Ovis aries: one gene and its partner. The protein of the gene in region 2 purifies or fractionates together with the protein of the main gene of each other region. This does not show direct contact. Links are inferred from orthologs where the notes say so. Each region holds a gene or a part of one and is shown on either strand. Other genes may lie near its edges.

Evidence for each region.
Region 1: the proteins of PINX1 (region 2) and TERT purify together in Homo sapiens (co-immunoprecipitation; 3 studies listed by BioGRID and IntAct, with this or other methods). This does not show direct contact. The link is inferred for Ovis aries from reciprocal best matches to the Homo sapiens genes PINX1 and TERT.

What each region holds. Positions count from the first base shown.
Region 1 is NC_056069.1:71,200,368-71,204,169, reverse strand, and holds part of TERT (telomerase reverse transcriptase), read right to left. Parts: intron 3,445-3,802; coding exon 3,349-3,444; intron 2,948-3,348; coding exon 2,862-2,947; intron 2,158-2,861; coding exon 2,044-2,157; intron 1,302-2,043; coding exon 1,230-1,301; intron 824-1,229; coding exon 635-823; intron 1-634. UniProt on the Homo sapiens protein: Telomerase is a ribonucleoprotein enzyme essential for the replication of chromosome termini in most eukaryotes. Active in progenitor and cancer cells. Inactive, or very low activity, in normal somatic cells.
Region 2 is NC_056055.1:104,714,882-104,719,259, forward strand, and holds the start of PINX1 (PIN2/TERF1-interacting telomerase inhibitor 1), read right to left. Parts: upstream 3,018-4,378; 5' UTR 2,879-3,017; coding exon 2,860-2,878; intron 1-2,859. UniProt on the Homo sapiens protein: Microtubule-binding protein essential for faithful chromosome segregation. Mediates TRF1 and TERT accumulation in nucleolus and enhances TRF1 binding to telomeres. Inhibits telomerase activity. May inhibit cell proliferation and act as tumor suppressor.

The DNA of each region.
Region 1 (3,802 bases), on a different chromosome or scaffold from region 2:
GAGCCCGCCCCCGCGGCCGTTCGGGGACAAGGCCTTTGAGAAGATGACTAAGGTCAAACGAGCGCATAAGGGGGGCCCTAACCCACAGGGACGGGGCCCAGGAAGAGACGCAGAGACGCTGAGCACACGGGCCCTAACCCACGGGGACGGAGGTCCAGGAAGAGACGCTGAACACGGGCCCTAACCCATGGGGACGGGGCCCAGGAAGAGACGCAGAGACGCTGAGCACACGGGCCCTAACCCACGGGGACGGGGGCCCAGGAAGAGACGTTGAGCACAGAGGGTGACCACGTGGTGCTAGGGGCGCAGACGCATCCACACGGCCCGGAGAGGCCGCAGGAGGGATCGGCCGGCGAGGGACCAACAGAGCCGAACACGTGCCCTGAAGCCCCACCCCTGACGGACCAGAGGGGACCATGAACCCCAGAGCCCAGTGAGACCTGGGGCTCGTGTCCGGCAGGTCCTGCCTCTCCGGGTCACGGCCACACGCCTCGCCGGGAACACGCTTGCGCCCGAGTCCACTACGTGGCTCCCTTTCATGAAAAACGCTCAGAAAACCGCTGACTCGGAGAGCCAGTTCCCGCCGTCCACCGTGTGGCTTCTGACCCCCCAGGGCCCCGGGCCCGTCACTCACCTGGAGTGGTCACCATGCACCTCCAGGGTGCGAGTGTCCAGCAGCAGGCCACACCAGGGGAACAGGCAGTGGGCCGGCAGCTGCAGGGGCGCCACGCCGCCCAGGGCCCCAGGCTCCACGGGGAAGTTCACCACCGTCTTCCGCAGGTTCACCTGGCAGCCGTACTCGGGCACGCCACGCACCAGGGTCCTGTGGCCGGGCACCGTGTGAGCGCCGGACGGACAGGGCCACACTGGGTGTCTCGGGGGCGCTGGGCAGCGTACCCAGCACCCAGAGAGGCAGGCAGGCCACGGAGGGTGGGCTGGGACCGCGGGCCCCCACGGAAGGCTGGACACGGTCTGGCTCTGTGGAGCGACCTGCTGCTTGTGATCAGGGCCCGGGGTGGCTGGTGGCAGAGGAGGGGAGCAGGGGCGCCCCAAGGCCAGCCCTGAAACGTGAGTGGACGCTGGGACCATACGCCAGGCTCTTGGAGCCCTGGGACCGCGCCACAGGACCCTCCCCAGAGGTGCGGGGACACACAGGAGGACCTTGTTCACACGCCTGCAGGACACGAGCTGGGAGGCGCGTGCAGAGACGCACACACGGGGGACCTCACCTGAGGAAGTCTGTGGCCCGCGTTAGGTGAGGGGTGACCAGCAGGAAGTCGTCCACTAGGCGCAGAAGCACCCTGGGCATGGAGAGAGCCCAGGGTGAGGGCAGACCCTGACACACCGCCACACGCCCACACACGCCATGCGCCCCCGGCGTCCTCCCGGGGCGGTGAACGGTGCCAGGTGTACTGTCTGAGTTCAGCCGGACGCGGATAAAGTGATCTCCAGAGAGCCAACCCCCACCAGTGTCCATGGGATTCGGCTCCGGCCGGGACGAGCAGGGCCCAGCAGTCGGGCTGGGAGCGGACGGGTTCAGTGCCGCCGACACGCCCTGGCCACGGGGCAAGCCACGCTCACTCCCTGCTCGAGGCCTGCTGAGCACCTCCTCCCAGCCGCGTGTAGCACCCTCTGCACCCAAGACCGGAAATAGAGGGGCCCCAACAAGGCCGCGCCCGCCGCCACGGGGCCTGCGCCCACCAACACGGGCGTGTACCCTCCGCCACGGGGCCACACCGGCCAGCACGGGGCCTGCGCCTGCCCGCACAGCCGTGTACCCTCCGCCATGGGGCCACGCCCACCAACACAGGGGCACGCCCACCGCGATGGGGGCCACGCCCACCAACACAGAGGCACGCCCACCGCCATGGGGGCCACGCCCACCAACACAGGGGCACGCCCACCGCCATGGGGGCCACGCCCACCAACACAGGGGCACGCCCACCGCCATGGGGCCACGCCCACCAACACAGGGGCACACCCACCGCCATGGCGCCATGCCCTTTGCCACGGGGGCCGCGGCCGCCGGCCCGGGGGCCGTACCCGTCCTGCTGGACTCCGGGGAAGAGCTTGTTCTCCATGTCCCCGTAGCAGAAGCTGCAGAGCAGGGTGGACAGGATGGAGCCCTGGGGAATCCCCTGACACTGGATGTAGGACCTGGGGGGCAGGACGCGGTCAGCAGGGGGGCTGGCCACGGCAAGCCTCACGTTCACATCTGCACACGCGCGCGCAGACACACAGGTGTGCGCGCACCGCTCCCACCTGGGGACGCGAATCAACACGCTTGTCACACCCCCCACGAAGCCCTGCCACACGCAGCACGACCCCGCTCCACGAGGGGTGGTGGCCCTGGGGAGGAGTCAGGCTCCAGGCCTTTCCCGCAGAGAAGGATCTCCTCCGCCTGGTGCCATTTCCACGCGTGTGCAGGCCTGTGCTCGCGTGCGAACTCGCCCCTGCTGCGCAGCAGGCACCGCGCCTCCCCAGGAGTCTGCGCTATTTTATATTTTACCGGAACTGCCTTGCCGGGAGCATTGTAGTTACTCAGAACCTAATGATAACGAAGGCACATCCTTTAAGCAGAAAGCCCCCTGAGCCTGGAGCACATTCACGACCCCTGAGAAGGCCCCAGGGTCTAGACCGACCTCTAACAGCCGAGGCCACGAGCCCGAAGCCCCCTGGACCCAGAGGGGTCTCACACGGGTGCCACCAGAGCAGATGCGCTTTCACACACGTTAAGAGAGCCCCCCGCTGCCCTCTGACCCCGAGCACGTCCCGTAAGTGGAGGGCCGTGCGCTGCCACCCTGTCCATGGGGCTGGGGCGCTGAGCGGGTGCTGAGCGGGCAGGCGGGGCCCAGACCTACCTGCCCCCGATCCTGATGACGTGGCTGCGGACCAGGTGCAGGAAGAGGTTGAAGAGGCTGCTGCCAGGCTCGTTCAGGGAGCAGCTCTGCAGAGGCAGGCGGGGCGCTGGGCTGGAATGGACGCCACTCTGGGCCAGCAAGTGGCCCAGGGGAATGGGCCCGCACCCAGGGAGGCGGCAGGGAGCCCCACGTGCGACAGGGAGCCCCGAGGGCCCAGGCCCCGCTGGGGAACCCGCTCACACAGGAAGTGCGTCCCCACAGGGCTCAGTCAGGGGCAGGTCTGCGGGGCAAGCCCTCTGCCCTCCTGGAGGAGGTGGATGCACCTTCTTGTGGCCTCAAGGCCAAAACAGAGGGAGAAGACGGGCAGCAAAGTGCAGAGGGGCCACGGACGGCGGGGGTGCGGGAGGCCTGGGAGCGGGAGGAGGTGTCCTAAGGCAGGGGCGCGTCTGCACCGGCCAGCCCTCGGGGTGTGGGCGCCCACACCCACCTGCTCGATGACCACGGCGTCCCTCAGCGAGCCCATCACCTGCAGATGCTCCACGAGCTGCCTCAGGTACGGCTGAAAGTCCGAGAAGGTGGACACCTGCCGGCCGAGGACAGGGTGAAGTGGGTGGACACCCCACCCCCGACAGCATGGTGTTCAGGACAGCGGTCAGAGTCTGGGGGGCTGGCCACGGCCACTGTGACCGGGCAGAAAATGCCAGGCCGCCGGGGGCGCCGGGGAGGTGTGGACACAGACGGGCTGGGGTCTTGGTTTTCAGGGTGCATCCCACCTCCCCCCTGACCTCTCCCCAAGGCCGGGATCCACTGAGCAGAAAGACTGTGGGGTTCAGGGCCACTAAGCAGCAAGAACGAGTTTCGGTGAACTCCGGGGAGTTGGTGATGGACAGGGAGGCCTGGCATGCTGCCGTCCATGGGGTCGCAAAGAGTCGGACACGACT
Region 2 (4,378 bases):
ATAACGCTGGCACAAGAGACTGGAGAGTCAGCTGAGGGCAGCTTTTCTTCCCCAGGGAAACGGCAGGTCTCTCCAACCAACAGAGTGCACACATATGCGCTCAGTCATGTCTGACTCTTGCGACCCTATGGACTGTAGCCCGCCAGGCTCCTCTGTCCAGTGGATTTCCCAGGCAAGAATACTGGGGTAGGTTGCCACTTCCCTCTCCAGGCGATCTTCCCAACTCAAGGATCAAACCTGCATCTCTGTGTCTCCTGCACTGCAGGCAGATTCTTTACCAGTGTGCTACCTGGGAAGCAATGGAGTAGGGCAGTGTTTCCCAAGTAAGGATGTTAAATGCAGGGGAGGACTCAGGATAGAGTGTCCTGAATCTGCAGAATCACTCTTTGGGATGAAAGGGGTAACCATCCTCTAGCAGGGACTCCTCCTATATGGAGATCTAGCCAGACGTTTTCAGGGTAACCCCAACAAACAACCCTGCACACAAAAGAGGTGCCAGGTCTGATCACTCCACGCCCAGTACCACAAAGTTCATGGCAGGATTCAGCTTACCCTGAGAAGAGTTTTGAGTGCCAAGAGCCAGGGGCAGTTTTATCTTTTTTTCTTTTAGCCCAAAGACACTTTCAGATATTCAAGACCTCAAAAAAAAAAATCCTCCACCCATGTATTCTTATTAAAACATTTTTTGAGACATAGATTAAGGCATAGATTAATCTTGAAATAGAGTCAAGATTAAGGAAACAGCAGCATAAAATTGTAATGCAATGACCATTCAAATCCGTTAATGATAGCACTGTCATTTGATTAGAGAATGTAATAATTGCAAGTGTCGAAAACTGGTCCTAATAAAATGTGGGCCTAAGACTCCAAATTAAATAAGGACTGAGAAGTGAGAGTGATAAATGAAATTTTTCTCATGTTTTGGTAGGCTAGATTTCTTACCTTAAATAGGGGGAAATCAATAAAATATATTTGACAACTAGAGAAATGCAGGATAAAGGATATTTTTGAGAAACATAAAGAAAACTGCTAGATTTTTAAAACAGGAATAGATGCCTGGGAAGATAAAAGAGAACACAATCTAGTCCATATGGCAAGGGAAAACAAAGGAAACAGCATACTTACTGAAGTGAAAATATTAACTTAAGGTGAATCAGAGGAAAAAAGTAGGTTACAAAACTGTATCTACAGAATCATTACAATTGTATAAACTATCAGAGAAAATAATTGCTGGGTAGTGAAACGGCGGGCTGGGATTTCACTAATTTTCTATTTTCTCACTTCTAAAACAAGAACACCAGTCCTAAGTGTCTAATCACAGGGAATGCCTCTAATTTAGTAAATCATACTAAAAGGCAACACAAAATACTGGGTTGGCCAAAGTATAGGGTATGGAAAAAACTTGAGTGAACTTTTTGGCCAACCCAATGTTATCTATTACTATGCCAAAGATATGAAAATCTGGAGACATGGGGTTGGCGGGAGAACTGAAAATACTCTCTTGAAATCCTGCAGTCTGAATTACAGATGTCCACAGATGGCACCGTGCATCCGTACTTTGAACTATTTTCACATTCACCATCTCATTGACTTTTTTAAGACAACCTAGTGATGACCGTAATCGAAGATGTTTTTAATAGCCCCAGAGAAACTGATCATGGAAAGAGACATAAATGAACAGCAGAACTAGGGCGAATGTTTCCACGTACATGCTGAACTAAGTGTACATCAGAGAATATTAAAACCCAGAGAGATTTAGCCACGCTGGTTATACAGATGAAGAAACAGAGCCCACGGGGTCACACGAACACATACATACTCCGTTCTGTAAGTCCGTGTTTAAAAAACAATAGTAGTCTGCTGACCCTAGTGACAAGAATGTAAAGAAACAGCGACAACTAGACCGATTTTGTCACTTTCTACCTCAGTGACTTGGGGTGAATTATTTTCCTCTGAATCTCAACTTCTGCCCCTGTAAAACCTGAATGGTGCCTTAATGGTGCCTTAACCCACTTAGTTTCGTGCCCCCATTCCCCCACCTCTTTAGATGAGAGGAGGCCGACAGCATTTATTTCACGGAGTCCCTGTGTAGTTGCTGTTGGTCTGTTAAATACACTGTTTCTGGTTCTCGTTCACTAAACACTTTCAAAGGGACAAGGCCGGCTTTTCAGTTCCAAAGCACGACTGCTCTCTGGTGGCCAGGAGCCTTAACTACAGGTGCCATTCAAAAGTTAAAAAGCCGCTCCAAAGGAAGGAAATTGACGAACTTCACAAAATAATAGTGAATGTCAAAGGCAAACCCAAGCACCGCGGGCGTTGCGGCCAACACTCCTCGCAAAGAAGACTGTTACTAATTCCAACTACCAAAGTCACAACCACCACGATTTTATTTAGAATTACTCATGAGTCCTGCCTCCCCTATAAAACACTAACTTCCAGTGTTTACTGCTTCTAAGCTCTTGGCTTTTCTTTTTCTTGATTCAATACATCTTCAAGGACGGACTTTCACTGCTAGCCCAACAACTTCCTTTTAGCCAGAGGACGCTGAGGCCTGGGGAAGTAAGAGTTCAGGTCTCCAAAACCAGAGTCCTGACCCCCCACTGGAACCCACCGCCCACGTGTCCAGGTTTGAGAGCGAGGACAAGCGTCCCAGGCGGACACTCGGTCTCATCAGCAGACCTGTAGCTAACTTTCGAGGAAGGCTGAGCTGGGAAATCTCCGCGGCAGCCAGGGAGAGCCGAGATGGGCTTCCAGGACGCCGGCCCCCGGCCCCCTCCGGCCCACTGAGCGCCGCCGGCCACCGTGTCACCCGGAACCTTCACCCTCGGGCCCGATCAAACCTCCGCGCCCAACACTCACGCTCAGCCAGCATCGACATGTCGCCGAGCCTGTGACGCTGCGGATCTCGGGACCTGAACGACCGCAATTACCGCAGGGCAGACAAGAGGAGAAGCTGAAACTACCGGACTCGCACGCCGGGGAAACAGCAGTGGCGGCGGCGGGAGGTGCACTCTGATGACGTCAGCGAGGCGCGACTCGCCCCTGAAGCGCGCAGCGGCGAGTGGGCGGGGTGCGGGCAGCCTAGCACTCTCTTTGGTAGGATACTGGGTGGACTAATGGTTTCCAAGGCTTGTTTCAACTTTAGCGTTCCGGTGTCTGTGAAATATCTATGAGGAACATCCATTAAAAAGAACCGTTATTAAGTTTGGGTGTTTTTTTTTTAATTACAGAATCTTGATATTTTTAAATTGTCAGCTGGAAGTTCTCGTGGTTCAGGCGGTAAAGAAAATGCCTGCAAGGCAGAGGACCGACTTCCATCCCTCGGTGGGGAAGATCCTCTGGAGAAGGGAACGGCTACCCACTCCAAAATTCTTGCCTGGAGAATTCCATGAACAGAGCGGGGCTAGTCAGGGCATGGAGTCGCGAGGAGTTGGACTCGACTGAGCGACTAACACCCTAACTATTTTTCAGTAGATACTGCACTTTTAAAAAGAGGGTGACCGCTCTATTTCCAGTTTTTTAAGGAGTCTCCACACGCTAGTAAAGTAATGCTCAAAATTCTCCAAGCCAGGCTTCAGCAATACGTGAACCGTGAACTTTCAGATGTTCAAGCTGGTTTCAGAAAAGGCAGAGGAACCAGAGGTCAAATTGCCAACATCCGCTGGATCATGGAAAAGCAAGAGAGTTCCAGAAAAAACATCTACTTCTGCTTTATTGACTATGCCAAAGCCTTTGACTGTGTGGATCACAATAAACTGTAGAAAATTCTGAAAGAGATGGGAATACAGACCACCTGACCTGCCTCTTGAGAAATCTGTATGCAGGTCAGGAAGCAACAGTTAGAACTGGACATGGAACAACAGACTGGTTTCAAAATAGGAAAAGGAGTAGGTCAAGACTGTATATTGTCACCCTACTTCTTTAACTTCTATGTGGAGTACATCATGAGAAACGCTGAACTGGAAGAAACACAAGCTGGAATCAAGATTGCCAGGAGAAATATCAATAACCTCAGATATGCAGATGACACCACCCTTATGGCAGAAAGTGAAGAGGAACTAAAAGCCTCTTGATGAAAGTGAAAGTGGAGAGTGAAAAAGTTGGTTTAAAGCTCAACATTCAGAAAATGAAGATCATGGCATCCAGTTTCATCACTTCATGGGAAATAGATGGGAAACAGTAGAAACAGTGTCAGACTTTATTTTTTGTGTTCCAAAATCACTGCAGATGGTGATTGCAGCCATGAAATTAAAAGATGCTTACTCCTTGGAAGAAAAGTTACGACCAACCTACATAGCATGTTGAAAAGCAGAGACATTACTTTGCCAACAAAGGTCCGTCTAGTCAAGGCTATGGTTTTCCTGTGGTCATGTATGGA